Neurospora crassa OR74A: one gene and its partner. The protein of the gene in region 1 binds, or shares a complex with, the protein of each later gene. Links are inferred from orthologs where the notes say so. Each region holds a gene or a part of one and is shown on either strand. Other genes may lie near its edges. The genes, in order: NCU00690 and NCU16771.

The links.
Region 2: NCU00690 (region 1) and NCU16771 share a complex: the UniProt entries of both Saccharomyces cerevisiae proteins name them as parts of the nuclear RNase P and RNase MRP complex. The link is inferred for Neurospora crassa OR74A from reciprocal best matches to the Saccharomyces cerevisiae genes POP1 and POP5.

The regions. Positions count from the first base shown.
Region 1 is NC_026501.1:7,533,803-7,551,451, reverse strand, and holds NCU00690 (ribonuclease P complex subunit Pop1), read left to right. Parts: upstream 1-8,291; 5' UTR 8,292-8,432; coding exon 8,433-11,225; 3' UTR 11,226-11,635; downstream 11,636-17,649. Other genes in the region: NCU00687 (hypothetical protein), read left to right, coding at 1-190, 308-728, 785-1,596; NCU00688 (hypothetical protein), read left to right, coding at 2,609-4,246; NCU00689 (hypothetical protein), read right to left, coding at 4,647-6,764, 6,821-6,844, 6,911-6,946; NCU00691 (hypothetical protein), read left to right, coding at 15,474-16,087, 16,189-17,649. UniProt on the Saccharomyces cerevisiae protein: Required for processing of 5.8S rRNA (short form) at site A3 and for 5' and 3' processing of pre-tRNA.
Region 2 is NC_026504.1:1,937,294-1,941,495, forward strand, and holds NCU16771 (Rpp14 family protein), read left to right. Parts: upstream 1-2,629; coding exon 2,630-2,840; exon of another isoform or gene 2,841-2,910; coding exon 2,911-3,263; 3' UTR 3,264-3,284; downstream 3,285-4,202. Other genes in the region: NCU09746 (gephyrin), read right to left, coding at 1-2,138; NCU09745 (ATP binding protein), read right to left, coding at 3,285-3,947, 4,005-4,202. UniProt on the Saccharomyces cerevisiae protein: Component of ribonuclease P, a protein complex that generates mature tRNA molecules by cleaving their 5'-ends. Also a component of RNase MRP, which cleaves pre-rRNA sequences.

The DNA of each region.
Region 1 (17,649 bases):
CTCTCCCACCTCTTCAGGACCTCAAGTATCTCCATTCGACGATCCCCCTCCAAGGCCTACCTCGCGGAACCCTTTCCTCGATATTGGAGCTGCCAACAGCACTCGTCCGACTGCACAAACCAACCGATCAGTTTCCGACACAATGTCTGGCTTTGACAAGAGGTCGTCTGCCACGGCCGAGGACCTGTTTGTAGGTTGCCCCCAATCCTTCCACCTGCGGCTGTAACAAGTCACAAGGAACCCTCATTTGCGGGGTATCATGGAGCCAGATTGATGTCGTACCGATTGACTGACATTGACTTTGTAGGCTTCCATCACGCTCGATGACAGACCTTCTGGCTCAAAGCCACCCCCGCCGCCGGTCGCCCGCCGACCTGTCCCTCCCCCAGTAGCCAAGTCCAGAGGACCTCCTCCCGCTCATCGCCCCTCTCGCTCTCAAGAGGAAGACGTTCGCTCCAGGAAGCCTCGTGGAAACGGAGGTAGCGGCACACTCATCGACATCGACTCTCCCCCGCAGCAGCGAAGAACAGAGAGGCGTCCGCGCAGGAACTCGGATACGTCTGTCCTCGACTTGACCGAGGATGAGAAAGAGCAGAGGGCTCGTGATGCCAGGCGGCGTGAGCGTGAGCGTGAGCGTCGCCACCGCGAAAACAAGGAGAAGAAACCCACCAACCGCAAGCTCGACATCATCGACCAGCTTGATGCCACAAGTATTTACGGAACCGGAAGTGAGTTGTCCCCGTATTCAAGTTTGCTCTCCAGCGCTAACAGAATTGATCAACAGTGTTCCATCACGACGGCCCATTCGATGCTCTTAACCCCCACCGGAACAAGAACGGAAGTCGACGTGCTCCTATGGAAGCCTTCCCTGAAGGCTCGTTGAACAACAGTCTGGGTGGTGCTGGACCTTTGAACCCCCGGCCCGATCATGCCACATTTATGGGTCAACACGACGAAGAGGCCTATAGAGACTGGACTACCAGGGACAAGGGCCTTCCGTCCAAGAATGAGCTGCCCGTCTTTGACCCCACTTCCCGCGGCAGTGCCATGCACGGCGACGAGTCCCTGGGACTTGGCACTTCGACTTTCTTGGAGGGCACACCGGCTGCGCGTACCGCGATCCAGCAACGCCAGGACGAGCTTGCTCAGGAGTTGACTACCAACGGTCTGGCGCGCAAGAAGTCCCTTGCCCACCGGATACGCAACATCAACAAGAGCACCTCCCGCGAGCGAGAGTTCCAGTCTCTAGGCCGACTCAACAGCGCAGATTACGGGTACACAAGATCCCCCCCCGGCGAGGGTGGTAGAACTTCTAACAGCATGAATACACCCAACTCTGAACGCAACCCCTTCTTTTCAGAATACAGCCAGGGCAAGGGAGGAGAGGAGGGCTTTAGTGTGCGGAAGACCGACAACAACAGCCCTAGAGGCAACATGGAGCGCCGGGCTACTACGGATGCGGCCATGACCCTCGAGGAAGGACAGCAAAAGCCTACTGGCATTTTGGGCCGCATGAAGAGCTTGAAGGGCGGACGGAGGACCCGTCCGGCCCCTCCCGGCCCTGACGCTGGTCCTGTGCCCTCGCAATTTGCGTAGAAACGAGGATTTGTGGGGTGAACGGCGAAATGGTGACACGATCTCGCATCAAGACCTGAAGCGGAAATTTGCTGAGTTGTTTTACGCCAATATTTGACGTGAGGAATCGCGAAGCACGACATATGGCTCTATACATGGTCGCTGGGATCGTTCGAGCAGGACCTCCGTTCTGGGCAAGGGTTGTTTCTCGGTAGTCACATTGGAGGAATCGATCGCGGCATGCAGGAACACTCCTGTACAAAAAAATTGCTAATGTTTTGCTTTTGGTGCGCAAATAATGGGAGGAGAGTAACAGGCGTGCTCGTTGGGACCGCCCCTCCTATGGTGCTCTTATTATCTTTCTTTTCTCTCTGTCTGTTTAGTTTTTTTGTTAAAACGTCAATGGGAGTCGACGATTCCTTCTATCGGACGGTTGTTTTTCGCGGTCGTTTTTATTTCTTGCATTGTTTCCTCCTGCAGCTGCTTTCAACGAGAATCAACGCACAGTACCATACCAAGTTCACCTCGCACATGATTAAGGGCATTATTACCTTTGGAATTCTACGGTTTACTGTCCTTGAACTAACATGGAATAGTGTTTGTTGTATGTATGTATTATTTGAAAATTTGAGAAAACGAATGATGGACTGTGGTACATCTAGAGATTTGCAATCATTGACTGATGGAGATACCTTGTCCATGTGTCGTGTTAACTCGTTGCTACAGTGTCGAACGGAAGTTTTTCTAATCCGAGATTCTTGAAGCAACGCAATTTGCATGTTGTCTCCAACTCACCCATTCTTTGCACGACAAATTTTGGCTTTTACCAAACAACTAAGTCCAGTCGCAAAACAAACCACGTCGAACCTGCTCTATAATACCTAATGACAACAACCCCTCAGCCCAAGTTTGATTTTTCCTTTTACGACGGAACAAACCCCTACTTACCCACACAATCACCGAAACATCACCCTTCATCGAGCCACGCCATTGCCACACTGCACAGAAACTATACTCGAGTGGTAGTCCAGTCATGACCACCATCCCCAAACCCACCAGCATCCGCAAAAACAGCAACCGCAACGCATCCCACCCATCGCACCTTCCTCCAACACCTCCAACCCTACATCCCCTCCCCGCCTCCCTGCTCCTCTCCCAAGATCCCAGACTCTCACGGCTGCTGACCCACGATCGCAATGACTTCTTCTCCACCGGCTGTCGCGAGCTCGACTCCCATGTTCTCCTCAACGCAGGACTTGGAGGAGGAGGATTCGAGGGGGGTTGCGTGGTCGGTCTAAGCTGTGAAGAAGAGGAGACGATTGGGTTGGCGATTGGATTGCAGGTTGTTGCGAGGATGCTGTTGATGTCGTCGTCGTCGTCGTCATCGTCGTCGTCGTCGGGGTCAAAAGCAAAGGCCATGATCATCACGACACTTTCCACGACTTCTTTGCTCCCTCGGTTGAGATTGGCATTGGTTAGTGAGGCTAGGGTGCTTCAAGGGAATGGCAACGCACACCACCAGGTGGATAGAGGGGTAATCATGCGTTGTTTGGAGAGGGTGTTGGTGGCGAGGGTTTTTGATGCAGAGGGGTTGAGGGAGGTTTTGAGGGAGTTGGAGGAGGTTGAGCAGCAGCAGCAGACTGTTGTTAGCCATAGTGACGGGAATGAGGGGAGACGAGGCGGAGGAGAAACAGGAGAGAAAGGAACGGAGAGAAAAGAAGACGGTCTACTACCACACCTAATCATAATAACCAACACCTCCCACCTCCTCAACACTCTCTTCACCCGCAACAAGACCGGCAGCGACAGGTCCGCAGCGCATAACTCGGCGGTTCAGCTTTCTGATCAAATTCGTGGACTTAGTCGGAGAGGGCCGTTGGTGATGATGCTAAACTCGACTACCTCACCAACAACAACAACCTCTTCATCCTCCTTCAATACCAACTCGATATCGATGTTCGACGACAACAACAACAACAAAGGACCAAAACAACCCGACCTCAGTATCATGCGCTCAATCTTCAACCCACCACCACCAACACCTCTGGCACCTATAGAGGCAGCAGCACCGGGGTACATGGGCGGCTTAGTCGGCGGACACACTGCTGGTGCGCCTTCTGCTGCAAGTTACAGAGGCCCCGGGGGATATGGAGGACGTGGAGGGGGATACGGCAGGAACCATCATGATAACACCCATCTTCATCCTCACCAAACACAAACCCAGTCAGCAGCAAGAAGAAACATGAAGCCCTCGTACGGAATGGTCTTCACCCAGATGCTCGATTTACATTTATTGTGCACCAAAGTGCCTACCAGGGGCAGGACTCGTCGCGGCGGTGGTGCTTACGGAGGAGGAGGAGGAGGCTACGGAGGTTATGGTGGTGGGTATGTATGGGCAGTGGAGGTATTGCTGGATGAGCTTGGGGTTTATGAGGGCTCGGATGTGGTTTTGGACAAAGTTAGTAGTAGAGAAGGAGGAGAAGAAGAAGAAAAAGAACAAGAAAAAGAAGGGCAGGGGGAGCAACAGGAGGCGGGACGGCGAAATGAAGAGGGGCAAGAGGGGAAGAGGAAGGGGAAGGGAAAGGGGCTGACTAGAAGGAGTAGGGAGCAGAGATGGGGAGCTGTGGAGATTGAGGAGGGGAGTGGAAGGGTTGTTGATGCTTTTAAATAGGGGAGTTCGGGGAGGGGGAAGTAATGGAGGGGAGTGTGGGAGGAAGTGGTTGTTGGGGAGGTTATTGTTACTCGCATTCTGATGGACCATGCAGGAGATTTGACATCATCGAAAGGAGTTGCCTTTTTGATACCTGGCGTTTAGATGTACATGCCAGACCCCTAAAAGATTTCTCGCTGATATTTTACTGGCGTTTGCTTTGCCTAACCAACGGCGTTCAATTTGAAGCCCAAGAACCATATATTATAACAACTCCACGCTACAAAGGAAAGTAAGAAGTGAAGCTACAAAACAAAACAACACAAAAGGAACAAAATCTATCGATCCCACGAACTGATCACACTCAAGTCCACAACCCTCCACCATCTCTCTTCCGACCAAAAAAAAAGGGCCTTGTCCCCTATGCCGGTATAGTCCAAGCAACCAAATCCTCCCTTACCTCAAACTCATCCACCTGTCTCGCTTTCTTATACCCACCATAGCCATACGCTCCTCTGCCACTCCCACTTCCCACCCCACTACCAAGCGACAAAGTCGCCAGACTAGCGCCACTATCACTCCGATCGCGTCCCCTAAAACTATCCATTCTTCCAATATGACTTTCATAGCTTGGGTGTTTGTCTCCATCCGTGATCACAATCCCCCCCAAAGAAGCAGCGTCTTGGAATTGATAGGGGGAGTTCAAATGGGGAGCGAGAGTGGGGCCGACGGGAGCAGCGGGGGAAAGCATCTTGCCCAGGTCGCGGAAGGCGGGGGAGAGGCCGTTGTTGAGGGAGGTATTGATTTTATTGACGGTAGAAGCGGAGGTCGCGGGGCGGTTGTTGTAACCATTGCCGTTAAGGAAATTTGGATTGTTGTTGTGGTTGTTGAGGCTGTTGAGCAGGTTTCTGAGGTTATTGGCTTCGTCTGCCGCTCCCCGGGGGTCCCGGGTGAAACCGTAGTTGTTGATGTTATACCAGTTATCTTTGTCGGCGGCGCCTCCTTCTTGGTCGTTTTGTTGTTGCTGCTCCGTCATCATGGTTCGAATGCTCTTATCACTTGTTCCGCTGTGGTGGCGGATGTGCCGCCTTATGCGAGCCATGCTTCCTGGGGTTTGGGTTCGTGAGGGGGCAGCGGTTTGTGGGCGGAGGGTATCTTTGTTGTAATTACTGTTGCCGTTGCTGCCGCTGTCTTCGTCTCCAGAAGCCGAGCCGCTGGTGGGTTCATCGCGGTGCCGGGGGTGGCGGGATCGAGCGGAACTGGCGCTCGGGGTGCGGAAGGTGTTGGATCTATTTGGTCCGGGAGTTGTTGGCGCCACCGGAGTGCCACCCAGTCCTAGGGAAATGGCGGCCGCGAGCTTGTCTCGCTGGTCTCGGTAGTACTGGCCCGAGGTGGAGCGGAAGTGGTGGCCATGTCCTCCTCCGAAACTGTGCTTCTTCCGGTGTCCCGCCCGTAATTCACCGTCTCGGTCCCCGAAGCTGTGAGCGTTATTGCTGTGCCCGCCGCGACCGCGCGTGATGGGCGTAGGGGTGTTCGCTGCTGAAGACATGTCCGTTCGGAACCCGTCGCCTCCAGAGAAAATATCCTCGATGCACTGGTCAGCTGTCAGCTCGCCCGGCTGGGATTCCCAGCTGGCAGCTAGTACCCGACGGTAGCAGTCCTGCAATTCAAACACGTCCCGCGACTTGTGGCTGAGACTGGGTAACTGGCCCAGTGCCAGGTCGGCCGCGGCTTGATGGTGGTTGCGGGCGAAGTTGTGGGCGTCGGCGTTGGGGTCCAGCACGTCGCCCGCCACGAGGCCGGCGATGCCACCGAAAACGGGAGCCGTCTTGAGCGGCGGGGCGATGAAGTTGCGCTCGCCTTCGACTTGGATCATGAGGATGCTGATCTTGAGTGTTGAGTTGATCTTGCTGTCCTGCATCAGGTAGCGGCGCACCACGCCGTCTTGGACGTCCTCTGCCGGGGTCGCCGTGGTTGTTGTGGCGAACGTCTTGGTGGTCATGGCTGTCATGGGACGTTCCTGCTCCTTTTCCTCTGCATCAGGCCGTAGATACTGGGGACTGTTAGCGTCCGCTGGTGCCGGTGTTACCGCGCTTAGTGAGCTGCGATTACGGATGTGCCCGAACCGGAAATCGACCGCTGCCGGGCCACCCGGAGATCCGAGAAACGGAATGAAGCCGGCTCCAACACCATCCCGGAGGATGGTTTCACTCTCCTCGACATACTCGGCTAGATTGAGGCGGACGACACCTAGAGTGGTTTTCTCTTCCCGGGCCGGAGCTGGGCCATTGCCGTTTACTGTGCCATTGGTGTTGAAGAGCTGCAGAACCTCAAACTCGATCGGGCATTCCGTGAGGTTGTTGTTACGATCGACAGCGATGCGGATAGGGATGACCTTTGAGTAGCTGTACTCAACTCGGTGGTTGGCAATAGGGCATCTCTGCGTCTTGCCACGGTGCTCCGAGTGAATGCTATGTGGGAAGTGCCATTTGATCAGGGACCCTCCAGAGACCAGTGGCACATTGTTCAAATCATAGATCTGGGGCTGGAGTTAGACGACGACCTAAAGCGAGCTTCAAATTGAGGACGACATGCCTTGAGGTGTAGTTCAAACTTGGGCTAGAGCAAAGGTATTAGTACTGTGTGTCCCTGTAGGTAACCAGAAGGAAATGGGTCAATACGAACCTTTTTACCCTTGCCGACTAGAGGAATGTGAAGCATAATATCAGCTTAACGGGTCACGACCAATGGATAGTTTGAAGGCAGATTCAGCGTGTTCAAGGCAAGGTTCATTCCATAATGCTGGAAGTGCCGGTAGACAAGATGCAGCAGCGTCATGCACAGCAGGACGGACGTTCATAGTCAGGTAGGGTTTGGGGTGAAGGAGTGATGATAAGCTGGAGAGATTGATGGAGGGGAGTGGCCGCATTGAGACGAGCGGGAAACTGCGAACGAAGGTGGGTGGGTGGGATGGAATGAAGCGGAAGCCGGATGTGATGAAAGGAACAAGAGGGAGGAAGGCTAGTCATGCTTACTGAGGGCTGCCATGTCTACATGCGACGGATTCAGCAGGTATTTCCGTCGTCCGTCTCCAAAGTACGGTACGCGGTCTCAGGACTGTAACTGTACCGGACCGTTCGATCCAGGTTCCCGTGGTTGACGCCGACACAAAGGGGCGCCGAGGTCCCCTGCCGCAACGTGAGCGTTCCCTTTTCGGACCCAGTCGTCGATATCGAGACTCCAACAACGCAACAGCGACAACGGGACTCGGAAACAAACCCTCAGGTCAGTGAGAAAAGTGAAAAGCTTGGAGTTGTGCCGTTGAGGCGTGTCAGGGATGGCTTGGCATGTATCGCGGACGAACACAGTTGTAACGTAAGGTATTCCGTATTACCCCCCTATCGACCAAAACACGACAACAAGACAGCAAAGACCTAAGATGTGTGTGTGTGTGTGTGTGTGGGTGAATGAGAACTTTGGACTGCCGGTTAGTAATGCTTCCACGACAGATTCTGGAAAAAGTCCTTTCTTTAGCCCAACAATTTGCCTGGGCATATTTGTTTTGCGCGGCACCACGGATATGATGGATGGATGTCCAGGCAGGAGCCCCTTAAATTAAATGAACTAATGTCAAACGGGCATGGCGATGAGGATAATGGTTTCCATTCGCTTTGCGGCCTCACTCCGTCATCCACGACTCTGGAGAACTAAGTCTACACACTCACCACAAACTCTTCCTACAGAAGTCCCATCAGGATAGCGGTGATGTCGAGGTTGGAACAATGCCCGTTCGAGACCGGGAGACTGGGGAATGCCGAGCTTCCAGTCTGTGCTCCGGCTGAGTGTGATGCTGGGGGGGCGAGATTCGGTGTTACGCCACTGAAGGGACCGCCAAGAGCGCTGTCCAGGATGCCGTGGAATCGTCAAGGAACGGGACCTGAGTTTGGACGTTCTTCCAAGTGGGGACACCTTCCCCGCTAGGGCCCGCTAGCCGATTGACTGATAAGCCCGATAAGAGCTTCAGAAATTCCTCATTCGTTCCTTGTCAGTCGGCGCCAGTGATGCAGTCACTGAGACTGAGCAAGACCTGCCCGACTCCAATTCCTCCAAGTAGGTAAATCACCAACCACCACCCCAATCGGGCACCTCCATGCGCCGCATACAAACAACGCCAATGTCCAAGGAACCATAGGTGCCTCTAGTCGCCATGGATAATCACAACAAACAATCCGCCTCAGGCAAGGCGGCGGCCGATTCCAAGAAGCGCAAGGAAGCCCCATTGAATCAGAACCAACAAGGCAAAGAATCGCGTCCTCCAGCCCGGCCACAAAAACGCGTCAAGTTCCAAGATGCACGCAACATCCGCAGCCAGCCTTCGGACGCCGCCCTTGACGATGGAAAGCTCGATCTCCAAAAGTTCCTTAGTGCCCGTGAATTCGAGATCAAGGCCCTCGAGACGAGCATGCGAAAATGCAAGAGCGCCAACGCCACCCGGGTGTTCCAGCAGGTACCGCGCGAGATGAGACGGCGGACGGCGAGTCACAACGCCAAGAGGGTTCCCAAGAGGCTGCGCGACAGAGCCAAAAGAGAGATGATGGAGGACAACACACCGACCGTCGAAGCGAGGAAACGACGGCCACGTACAACACGCGCCAGGATACGTGCCGAAAACGCAAAGCGACTCGAGAAACTGGCCGCAAGGAAGAGGAAAAGGGCGTTGCAAAATGAAGCCGGGGGAGAGAACAGGGACGAGCCCGGAAAGACGACGATCCAGACGAGAGCCCCGAGACCCAAGATACGACGTGATACCCTGAACGAGCCCCCGAAGCCAAAGTCCAAATTCAAAAAGAGACAGATCAACAAGACCTGGCTCCCTACCCATCTATGGCATGCCAAACGAGCGACAATGACCGAGTCAACCAAGCCTCTGTGGCGGTTCGCGATCCCTTTGACACCGACGCAAAAATGCTATCGACCGACCCACCGAGCTTCTGGACAAAAGGGAACTGTTTTCTGGGATACAAGTTACATGAGCACGGTCAGGCTCTACGGAGCAGCGGGAGGCATTGAGCAGGTTCTCAAGGCACTAGGGCTGGTTCAGGAGAGTCTATGGGGCAACCGTGGCAGGAAATGGAGAAGTGGTACGAGGACATGGAGCGGTATGGTGAGCAGACAGCAAAGGAATTCAAGAAGGGACATCGGGCCTGCTACGATTCTATGGAACCCCACTCCGACCGTCGAGACTGCCGCGCCCGAGTCAAACACTACCGAGCTGAAGAAGACTCAACGACAAATCTTAATCAGGACACACCCCTCATGCTTTCTTGAACTCTTTGACGAGCTGGTTAAGCTCGCAAAGCTACATACGCCCCAAGTTCACGTCGAGGACTTGCGTTTCGAAATCGGTAGCATCGAGCTTACTGGACCCGGTTCCACAGAGACATTGCTTGCCGTGCTTCAACCATATTATACCGAGGAGCGCCATGGGCAGGTTTTCTCCTCTCTAGTTGGGGTAACAAATCCCGCTTCTCTTCCTAAAGACGCAGTACTGGGCTTCTCAATCAAAGACCCGCGATTGTCGTATCCTCCCAAGCGGGTCGACACCGCCAGCAAGGTGAGCGATTCTGCTCTGCTCGATACTTTGACTCAATGGCCTGTTGAGGAACAGGTGAAGCCATATGGGCTCTTCGACCGTGATGTTCGCTTCAAAGCTTCCAGTCTACCACCACAAAAGTCCATCAATCGCCGAAAGGGCGCCAGTACCCCAGGGCAAGAGATGCAAGTCACAGCAGCGGACCCTCCTATACCAGTCATCGCGTTCACCTCCAGACCGGCAGCTGGTGGTCAGGCACAGGGTACATGGACACTGTTGGCGCCATGGAAATGTATTCTGCCGATATGGTACAGCATTGTCCATTATCCCTTATCCACTGGAGGCAATCCTCGGCTAGGGGGGTTGAATGAGCAGCGGCAGATTGCTTTTGAACAAGGGACTCCCTGGTTTCCTGGGGATTTTCTTGGGACGAATGCGGGTGTGGTATGGGAGATGGAACAGCGCGCGCAGCGCAAGAAGGCCTGGGACCGGCGGCCGAGGGGCAAGCGCATTGAATGGGCCTCGCTGGATCTCGGCGCTGGACGAAAGGGCGAGATTGGAGATGGCTTAGCGTGCGATTTTGAGCATCTTCTCGGTTTGCCCACGGATCATTTGCCGAACTCCTGCGAGGATCAATCAACGTCGGATGTCGATCCAAATGCAATGGACCTTCATCCTGGGGAAGAGGCTGAAGCCGCAGCCAAGTTGGGGAAGGTCCACAAAAATACAGTGCCGTCTTTGACGACGGTTGAGCAGATGAAGAAGACAGAGTTTCAGGCCCTTATCTCCTCGGTGAATTCGGGCAGACCTCCCCCACGGTCGATCATATCAGTCAACATCACATTTGTAACCAGAGGCGTTGCAAACGCGTGCGCCAGAATATATCGTCTTCCATCTCAGCCTTCAGCAACGACGGCTGTCCCGTCGTCGGAGACGGAGGTACCCGCTACTGATCCGGTCGCGGCCGGCATGGGATCTCTACCTGCGGATCTCCGCGATCAATGGCTTCAGAAAATCCCCGGCAACAAAAGCGGCAGCAGGTCTACCAAAGTCACCACAGCACACGCAGCACCACATATGTCTCGCGACGTTGGTCAGGGTACTCGAAAACAATTAATGGCCAAGTCTCTCCTGTCAGGGGATCCATTACCCTACCCCAGGCCTACAGCTAATCAGACAGACATTGGCGGTGGCCATCCGCTGTGCCCCGGCGAGGAGGACCTGATCGGGTTCGTGACGGCCGGGGCGTACAGCCTTAGCGAGGGCAAGGGTACGGCGGTTGGGGCAATCTCTGCCGAGAAGGCGTTTGATACGGTCAAAGAGTCGGGCCCCAAAGAAGGAAGGCTCTGTATTGTGAGGAATGCCGGGGAGAATGTAGGCTGGCTGGCTAGGTGGGAGCTGGTGTGAAAACATCGTGAGATGTTGAGATGAGATGATACTACATGATAAGAGATGTGGCATTGATGAAGATACCTGTTAATGGACGCGGCTGTCGATATCGATAGTGGGCGGGCTGCAAGCCGTGAAAAAAACTCACCGAAATGAGGTCTCAAAGAAGAAAAGTGAAGGTGATGAAGATTTGTTGAAGAATGGGAATACTCTGTAGTTTGCTTAAACCCTGTCTCGGCTATTCAGATACCGAAGCTTCAGGGAATTGGGCTAAATTAACCGGTCGACGGCGAGCTTCTTTCACAGTAGTATTTACATATGTCTAACCAGCGTCCATGTCATTGAAAGCTTCCAATGCCACAAGCCTGATGACCGACGCTACGCCGCTCAGAATTGCATAGCTTTACTCTCCCGCCTCTGATAAGAACCGTCTGGGCTCCGAGCCTTAACATAGCGAACTCTCTCAGCATAACAATCATCGCGGGAAGAAAAAAATTTATCGAACCACAAAAGACAGGCAAAGTCAAGTTCTGGCCAGTCTCCCACAATCATGACACATGTACGATGAACCGTGACATCGCCTAGACAATCACGTAGTTCCCCTCCGAAAGTCGTAACTCGTTAGTCTCAGTGTGTATGCTCGGCACATCCCCATTGTCTAAGATTACCGAATGGTAAACCTATCGGGATCTTACTTAGTGTATGTAATCAGCAAAACCCGGGCTGGCCACGATGCAAAGTCTGTGTGTGTGTGTGTACATAAGCCGAAGAGATGTACAAGGCAATTTCAAAAAAGTCTGTTAGTCCAAGTTTCCTTTTTCGTTAGGCCTTGTCCACGGGGGTGCAGAAAGCGGGAAGATCGTCGTCGGTGGAACCAAGATTTCCAGACAGTGGACATGGACAAGGACATCACCAAGGCCCCCATCCATTCCGCTGCTGCAGCCTTTCGGCTTTTACACTACATACTGTAGGAGATGCCCGGGCGTCTCTGGGGGAAACCTACCAAGAGCCTACCTAACTAGGTATGCACTACACCCCGCCCCGGTGCTGTTGGCCGGCTGGCGAGAGTTTTAGTGCCCAAGTATCCCCATCGATGACAGTCTCACCTTATTTAACCAACTCGCCCATGGAAAAAAAAAAAAAAAAAAAAAAAAAAAAAAGAGAAAAAAAAAACATATTGTCGATAGCAGCCTGGGGCAAGCTTCCCAACCAACCGGGAAGGGGATGGGTTCCATACTCGCTTCGGTTGATGAGAGACAAAAGAGTTGTTGAAGACAGCCCAGTCAAAAAAGCAAAGTCAAAAGCCGGGAAAAAAAAAAAAAAAAAAAAAAAAAAAGGACAGAGGTCGGAAAGACGGATATGCAGCTGCTCGTTTTGGCTGGACAATTTGGGGTGGGTGGATGATCTTCAGCAACAACAACAATATATGTAAGAAAGCTGAATGCATTACCTATCAATCAAAGTACACTAAACCGAAAGTTGGCTGGCTGTCTGTCTGTCTGCCTTTCAGCTGTTGCTTACTACACTAATGTAGTGCTTGTTGTTGGTCTACTGCACTAACCAAAGCGGAAAAGCTTTCAAAAAAAGGAAATTTGGAATTCTTGTCCTCCGTCAGTCTTGGTTGTGTTACCAATCTGTTAGTAAAAGGGAAAAGGGAGGGGTCGGTCATAATCAGTTATTTCTGTTGGCGGTCGTTGTTGTTGTTAGTGATTTCTACGATTACGAACTGGCTGGCTGGCTGGCTGGCTGGCTGCCACAGCTCGTACAGTATGCAGTTCTGGGGTTGAACAAGCTTTTACTTTACGCACGTACTACAAGTAAGTGAGCAAGGGAAAAGAGGAACAATACCGACGGTGAGGGAGGTCGGCGAGGATATCGCGAAGGTGAAAAATGCAGAAAAGGACTCGCTGAGACTTTTGTCCTCTCTACACACACTACTTTAGCATAGAAGAAGCCCACTTGGTGTGACCATGTATGTAATACCTACCTATCCTATGATTCTATCACAAGACTCTCACCAAAGTGGGATGAGCCGCTACTTGAGTCGCGTTCGAAAGTCGAAACCGCCATCGTCTGTCGTGCGAGCGCGCGCGCTGTCGTGTGATGAGGACCGGTGGGGCTGATGGCCCTTGAGGGTGGACATGTGAGATGACGGGCGTCAACGATGGGGCGACGGACGAAATTCGGTGCGAGCGGACGATGAAGGGTCTAATGTTGGGTCAAAATCGATCTCAATTACTTACACTAGGTAGGTTAGGTAGTGGGCCTGCACTATCGTGACTGTCCTTCCCCGGCCGTGACGGCGACAACGACCTCCGCTGTATGAAAGCGTACTTGGGAAGCTAAGATGGCAAGATTGAAGGTCGGGAGAAGTACGGGAATAAGATACACAGCGCTGTGGTACCTGGCGCTACGGAGAATGGGGAAAAGGCAAGACTTGGTAAGACATTGACAGCGGTCCTGGTCGTATGTTGACAATGATGACGATACTTCAAATGGCCGAACTTGCCAAGAAAGCCAAGAAAGCCTCGACAACCTCCTCCACCTTGCAGATTTGCATGAAGGATTTGAGATTCCAACATGTTATCGGTTCCTTCACCTCTGGTTTGGAAAGTCGGTCTTCAAAGCGCCTTTTTTCTCCCACTTGGCTAGCTCAGTGGCTCTCCTTCCAAGGAGCTGAGGGCAGAAGATCAAGTTTTTCGGAATCAGCAAGCTTTTGACGGGGCATTTCTTCCATCATCAAAGACCAATCGAAGTTAGTGTTCGGTCCCGAATCTGTTCCCCTTTGGTTGCTTGTGTGGCGGGAAACTCGTGTCGTTGGGCTGAGGCTCTTTTGGCGCTGGCGAGTGAGGTTGGCTGTCTTTTTACTACATGGATGTAGTGTACCATAGTTGTCATACGAACACAGACAGAAAAGCGGACTTCAATTCCTCGACCTCGACCTTGTACATAGTGTACAATTCCCATCTTGGCCTCCCCTGATGCCAGTCAGCGAGGCGTTCAAGTTGTTGGATTTGTTACTTCCACTTGCCTGATTCGTACCTACCGACCTACCAACCCCAGGGCCCCCACCCAGTTGCCCGAGGCAGTCACTGGCTCCCACCCCTCGGGGGCCCGGGGATTCACGCAGCCCAGGCGCATCACATAGGTACCTAGGTAGGTACACCCTTGCCCGTTTCTTGGCCAGCCAGCGCCAGTAAGTCTAGTGTATAAACGCACCAACTGTGCGGCGTCCACTGTCCCCCCAACATCAACAACAGCATTGAGGACCCCGTCACCAAGTGTACCAACATCCCTTCTCTTGATGGGCATGATACCTAGGTAGACATTCCATGTGTTTCTTTTCATCCAGCTATGGATCCAAACAGCTGGCGATAGAGACAACCTGCTCTTAGCTATTGGCACAAGCAGTGATGGTCTAGTGACCTTGATGCGTGCAGAATGCAAGTCGGGCCTTGATATGTAATGTACAATATAATCATGCACTGCTAAGGTGATGTATATTTGGGCGCCAAACTGCAACCCTCGTCTGGTCTACTGCACATCACTTGCTTTAGCTGGCGATCTTTCTGCCGCTTTTCGTGTGATCCCTCCATCTCAAATCTCTTGCTCTCCGTTGCCGCCGACCAAACACTCCATCTCTCTCCCTCCTCCATCTCCCTCCCCCTTGAACCCCTCCACCACAGCTCCCAACTTTATCCGAGCTTACTCCTCCCGTCATCTTACTCTTTTCCTCGTCCCTTGCCTTCCCTTGCCAACACGCTACACTATACTAGATCTCACCATTCCTCAGGGCTCCGGGCATTTTTCGGTAACCACTCTCAGCCCTGGTTATTGAGAACGCCGTACATTAGTGAACACCTCACATATTGGTAGCCGAGTGATAGCGCTGTTGATTTGGCCTAATCAGTCAGCTCACGTAACGACGGCGGCCCCAAAGCCCTGGACATCCAGCCAGCCCTTGGGATCGACATGCAACTGACACTACAACCACCTAAACCTCTCCGGATGCATGAACCCCACCCTTGCCCATAGTTTTGCGTCATGGGAATTCCTCTTCTGATAGATTGGACCGCATCTTTAATACATATTTCATCCAATTCCCAAAACTCCCGCTTCACATAGCTACCACTCCGGTCTTCTTTCTCTGCCGCCGCCATATGCCTTTCGACTGTCTCGGTAACCATTCGCTGTTTACCCCAGATATCTGCTGTGTCAACAGGGGCAGAAGTAGATGGAGAATTATCAAGTGATTCGTGAAGGAATATGGCTGAATCCACCTCAGTATCGTTGTCGTCGGCCCATCTGGTCGGCACCGTCGCCAACCCACCCAAACTAGACGAGTCCGAATACCTCCGTGAGGTTTTCGGGATAACGACGGAAGATGCCACCGCCACTGAGGCCGAGATCGAGGAGAGCTTGACGGCAAAGGCTTCGAGTCTGGGAATCGATGTCTCGAACCTTACTGACAGCCTGGGAAATCCCACTGCCTTGAACGCCACATCAGCGAGAAGCAGCACTCTCGTTGCCCACCAGCGCTCCAACACAATATGCTCGAACGACAGTACCACCGGCACCGAAACGGCCACAGGCACCGATAATGATATGGCTTCGAACTCGTCGGCAGCAATGCCGGCAACTCTCACACAATCCACGAGCAGGAAGAGGTCCAACACTGTCAACTTTTCCCAGTATGAGAAGTACTTGACGCAGCTGAAACCCGCGCTCCACCAACCAAAGTTTTCCAACCCAGCAGCGCCCACAAGGCGGCCGTCGCACAACATCTTTGGCTTTGGGCATTTCAAGGGCGTCAGGGAGCTCCGGCGCGGCCTCACAGGCAGGTTGAAGAGGAGGAAAACGTATCCGGCGTTACCAATCGTGTAAGTGACTTTGCTGGATCATTAGCCCCACCCACCCAGATACTCTGGGCATCATGAGCCATGTTGGAACGACACATCTAACGAGTTCTACCGTTTCCTAGGATCTGCATATGCTGCCGCGAGGAATTTGCCCAAGAGAACCACCTCCTCCAGACGCTACCATGCGGCCACACCTACTGCCAGAACTGTCTGGCCGTCATGATCAACCAATCCACCACCGACGAGTCCAAGATGCCTCCCCGCTGCTGCACCCAGCCCATTCCCAGCTCCATCATCAAGACGATCCTCACCCGCGAGGAGCAGCAGGCCTTCCTCAAGGCCGTCCTCCAATACAGCACGCCCTGGGAATCCCGCATCTTCTGCCCAAACCCGGCCTGCGGCGAGTTTATCCCGCCTAGAGCCAAGCTCGACCCCAAGCACCCCTTCGAGACCATGTGCAAGACGTGCAAGATGCGCGTCTGCCTCATTTGCAAGCGCAGCGCCCATCGGCTCGGGCAGGATTGCCCCGAGGACATCGAGCTGGAGACGGTGCTAAAGATGGGTGAGAAATCCGGGTGGCGTAGATGCTACAAGTGCCGCAACCTGGTTGAGCTCACGCAGGGGTGCACGCACATGACATGCCGGTGCAAGGCGCAGTTCTGCTACATTTGCGGTGCCGTATGGGATCCTGTTGTTGGGTGTCCCAACTTTTGCAACGGCGAGGAGGAGCTCGAGCGGCGCAGGAGGGAGGAAGAGACGCGCCTCGCGGAGCTGGAAGTGAAGAAGCGGGAGCAAGAAGAGGCGGCTGCGGCGGAGGGACGGGCGCAACAAGCAGCGGAACGGAGGACGCGAGACAGTGTAGAGTTTCAGGCGCTAAGGGAACGGCAAAACCATGAAATGTCCAGGGTTTTGGCATACGAGGCTAGGATGCGCAAAGACATGCGCACAAAGCAGTCGGAGAAGAAGAAGGCGCTGCTGGAGAAGTACGCGGAGCTCACAGAGAAAATGAAGGAGCGCCATGCGAAAACAGAGCAGCACCTCGAGGACCGGCAGATCGAAGCCGAGATGGAACTCCGCTCGTCGCTGGACGCTTCGGAACGGAGCATCAAGATACAGCTCAAGCACATGGAAGCCTACTGTAAGACGCTTTCGCAAGTTGAGGAAGTAAGCGAGAAGGACCAAGCCCTGCAGGACTCGAAGATGCCTTCTAGGGAGGTCACCCAAAAACACCTCGACCAGCTCAGCGAGCAATACCGCATCCGCGACGGCATGGAGAGACGGCACCAAGCCCAGATCAACGTGCTTCGCGAGAAGCAAGGCAAAAAGATGGAGCAGTTACTCGACCGCCACGAAGACGAGATGGAAGCCCTTCTCCACAAGAAATCCGAAGAACTCGAGGACCTCGCCGTCGAGTTCGCCAATGAGGCAGATGCCGTCTCCCGCACATTTGCCCAGAGGAAGGTCAAGCTGCAGAAGAGATGGCTGGTCAGCGTGGAGATTTTGAGGGTAGAGCAGGAGAAGAAAACTGGAATGCGGTACGCTTCCATGGCTGTGCCGCAGTGGCCTGCTGCGACTACGACTGA
Region 2 (4,202 bases), on another chromosome or scaffold:
ACCTTGGCACCCTTGCGCAACGGCTCTGGTCCGCAAGGCATGCAGAGAAGCGCGTTGGCCCCCTTCATACTTCCTACCCGCGAGCTTCTCTGTCCTCCTGTGCTGACCGCGGTGAGCACTCCGTCCCTGCTAACGGAGACAATGGCCCGGTGGTACTCGGGTCTAGATCTATCGAGGGAGAAATCATGGCCCAGTGTCACAGGCACCTTTGGCAAGCCAGGTGGTGAGACGCCCGACATTTGGTGCAGAGACGGCAGTACAAACAAGTGAAACGTAACCAAAGCCGATGCCGGGTTACCTGGTAGCGAGAAGATTACCTTGGAAACTCTCTCTCCGTCGTTATCCTTTACCGGAACGGTAGCAAACGTGGTAGGCTTGCCGGGCTTCATTGCCACCCGACCAAAGCGAATTGTTCCGCCCAGCGAACGCTCTATCGTCGGCTTGAGGAGATCCAGCTCACCCATGGACACTCCGCCGGTCGTGATCACCACGTCAACCTGCCTCAATGCCTGCCGCAGCGTCTCCTCCAAAGTCCCGGCCTTGTCCCGCGCCACTCCAAGATCAATCACCTCATACCCCCAATCTCTCGCCGCCGAAATGAGAGTTGGCCGGTTCGTATCGCGCACCTCGCCCAGCCGCAAGTCTCCCGGGCGATCATGGTCCACAATCTCATCACCCGTAGATAGAACGCCAACAACAGGACGTCGGTACACCTGCACCTCACCCACACCCACGGCGGCCAACAGACCAATCTCACCCCCCACAGCAGACACCTGATCTCCCTTGCCTAGAATCAGTTGCCCCTGCTTGATATCACTTCCCACCTCCCTAACATTTTCGCCTTCGCGAACTTTATCAGCTGCTAAAATCTCCACCTCCTTCTCCTCCTCCACTCCCTTTCCATCCTCCGCATCCTCCGTCTTGGATGACGTCGTCGACACCAACACCGTATCCTCCACCATAATAACCGATGTCGCACCCGGAGGCAGGGGTGCACCCGTGGTGATCCGGGCAATCTCGCCCTCTTTGAGCGTCGGCATTTTTTCCCCATCTCCAGGAGCGGCATGCGAAACCGACACGACGGGGAACACGCCGCGCATGTTCCCGTCTTGGGGCACGACTACGGCGTAGCCGTCGACGATGCTAGCGCGAAAAGCGGGCACATTTTCGCGCGCCGAAACGTCCTGCGCCAGAACGGCGCCGATGAGCGAGCTATCGACTTTGGAGGTGACGATTTGCGGCATCGGCGTGTGTTGCGCTATTTGGGAGAGCGCTTCGGAGACAGAGAGCATCGGGTAAGGAGACTCGCGGTGGCGGCGGCTGGGACCTAAGCTGGGATCGTTGGACTTGGGGTTTTCAGAGGGGATGGTGTGTCGGACTAGACCGGCGTGGCCGTGGCCTGGGCCGTGACCGTGGTTATGGCCATGCCCATGGGCGCCACAGCCTCCCCCTCCTCCTCCTCGGTGCTCGCCATGGTCGTGATGCTTGTGTCCATGTCCGTGTCCATGTCCGTGACCATGTCCACGTCCACCACCTCCTTCTACTCCCGCCTCCTGCTCCAATTTCTTCACTCCCCCCTTATGTAAAGCTCTAGAGTTAGCACCAGCAGCCTGCATGCAAGCGTGGGGCAGCATTTTGATCACTGCTTGCAGATTCTCCTTCGCGCCCTTGGGGGACCCAGGCAGCGCAACGATAACGGTGCCGTTCCTGACGCCAGCCACAGGTCGTGACATCATGGCAAAGGGGGTCACTTGCAGCGAAGCCGCCAGCATGCCGTGGACCAGGCCAGGAGCATTCTTGTGTAGGAGAGCCGAGACGGCTTCGGTGGTTTGGTCGGACACGGCGAAGCCGGTGCCGCCTGTGGTTACGATGAGGTTGATGGTGTTGGTGTTGTTGTTGTTGTTGTTGTCGCCACTTGCGGCGGTGGCTTGGTTTGTCCAGTGGATGATTTGCTTCTGGATTTGCACGACATCGTCGGGAACGATTTTGGATTCATGGACCTCCCATTGGGCTTGTTGTTCATCGAAGACCTGGCGGAGAGTGACGTCGGCCGAGTCCGTTGCGGGGTCTTGAGCTGCTGTCGTTGAAACGATAAGGATGGCTGCTTTGAGCGCTGCTGGAGTAGTACTTGAGGACATGATTGAGAAATGTGACACACAATACTGCGCTGGAGAAACGGTGTAACAGAATCTCCTCGTTTGTGCCAACTATTGATGAACTCTGTAGGAAAGGGAGTATTGTGATGGTGTCATGGTGTTGATGTGCCATGCCGGTACTCGGAAGCTGATAAGATAGGCACCCCTGTAAGCCGTACCTCAAGGTACCTGGTGTAGTTCTCCACCAAAACTTCGTGTGGGGAAGTGGAGCGTGTGAGGATCGAGAGTTTGCATGCTTTTGCCGGCGGCAATTATTTGTAACTTGATGTCTGAAAGTTGAATTTCAATTGCATTGATTTCACTCTCATTCACTCCATTGTACGTCAGTGATAGCGCACCCTCAGCTTTTTAATCCACGATTGCACCGGATCAAGTTCTCTTATATCTATCTGTACGGGTGTTCTCAGCAGACTGTTTGTGGTTTTTTTTCTTCTCTGTTTAGAAACGACGTCTTCGGGAAAACTCCTACAACCATGGTCCGCCTTAAAGATCGCTATCTGTTGGTCAACATTGTCTACGCAGACATTCCTCCTGGACAAAAGGGCACTGTACCCGATCTGCTACTTTATAACCAGCCCACCCTTGGAGAACTCAGGCCCCAAACCATCTTGAAGGGCATTCGCAGTCAGGTGAATGCGTTATTTGGTGATTGCGGGTCAGGCTCTGTCGAGCGCAGCCTACAAGGTAAACACACCACTGAACTCTAAAACTTACATTTGGTAAAAGCGGCCACTAGGCTAACTTGGTATAACAGTCAAGTACCTTTCTACTGCGACCTCAACCTTCATTCTACGTATCTCACGAGCCCATTACAGGCTTGTGTGGGCTGCCCTGACCTTTATGGACCGCCTCCCAGTCAAGGACGGCCGACCGTGTATCTTCCGCGTTGTCCGCGTCAGCGGCACCATCCGCAAAGTCGAAGAAGAAGCCATCCGCCGTGCCAAGCTCCTTGTCCTTGCAGCAAAGGACGAGATGGCCGGCAAGGCATCATCAGATGCCCTCAATGCTCTCTTCCGCGGCGGCAAAGATTCAGCCCGCAATCTCGCCTTGGTCACCGATGACCACGATGACGCAGAAATGGGCGAGGGCGAGGTCTCTGATGGATGAAACAACCATGCCATTCGATCGTCATGTGTTCTGCTTACGCGTCACACGGATTCCCGAGCCACTGGTGAACTGTGGCGCCACTCCAGGGACCGAGCCGTCACCGAGACCTGCTTCTTCAGCGGCCCGTGCCTGCTCCGCCCGCAGTTTTTCTTGTTCTTCCTCCTCCTTCCGCTCCATCTCGTCATACTCTTCTTTGCTATCGATCCACCTCTCTTGAATATCAAGAGCATCGGGCAATGATGACTCGTTGCGCATGGCAACCTGCCAGACGGTGTCGTTCGTTCCCTCAGCGCCGCCAAAGACGTACCCACTTGCACGGTCAATCACGCGCAACAGATGCATCATACTCTTCTTGTTCTCGACTGCCAGCACCTCGAAGCTGACAAGGCCGAACTGCTCAACCATGTTCGCAACGGCCTCGTTAAGCTTGGTGAACTTGCCTTTCTTCAGGGCAGGCGATTCCGCGTCGAGGGACGGCATGAGGTACCGTAGGTCTTGTACTTCGGTGTAATAGTCGAGGTTGAATGGAAGAGGATCGTAGGACGAGATCTTGTCAATCTTGGTCAGGACGTTGATGTGGGGAAGGTCCATTTGCAACATGGCGCGCAAAGAGAGGAGGACGTTGGAAATGTAGAGCGATGGTTGTGTGAGGCAGAAGCAGTCGGAAAGGTGGACAACTACCAGCTGCAAGAGAATTAGCGGGAAGGACTGCGATTAGAGAGACGAGGAACAACGGCGCACCCTGTAGCCCAGCTTCTGTAACCGGTAAAAGATGTTGCGTAACGAGTTGTGGTGGGTGTAGAGCTCGACTTGACCAGGGCAGTCAAAAAGCACATAGTCTTCTCCAAGCTCCTTGAGGCCGTTCTCGAGCCATTCCATGTTATTTTCCAGCTCTTCAAGTGCGTACAGAATACCGCCATTGGGACCCAATTTGTCGTC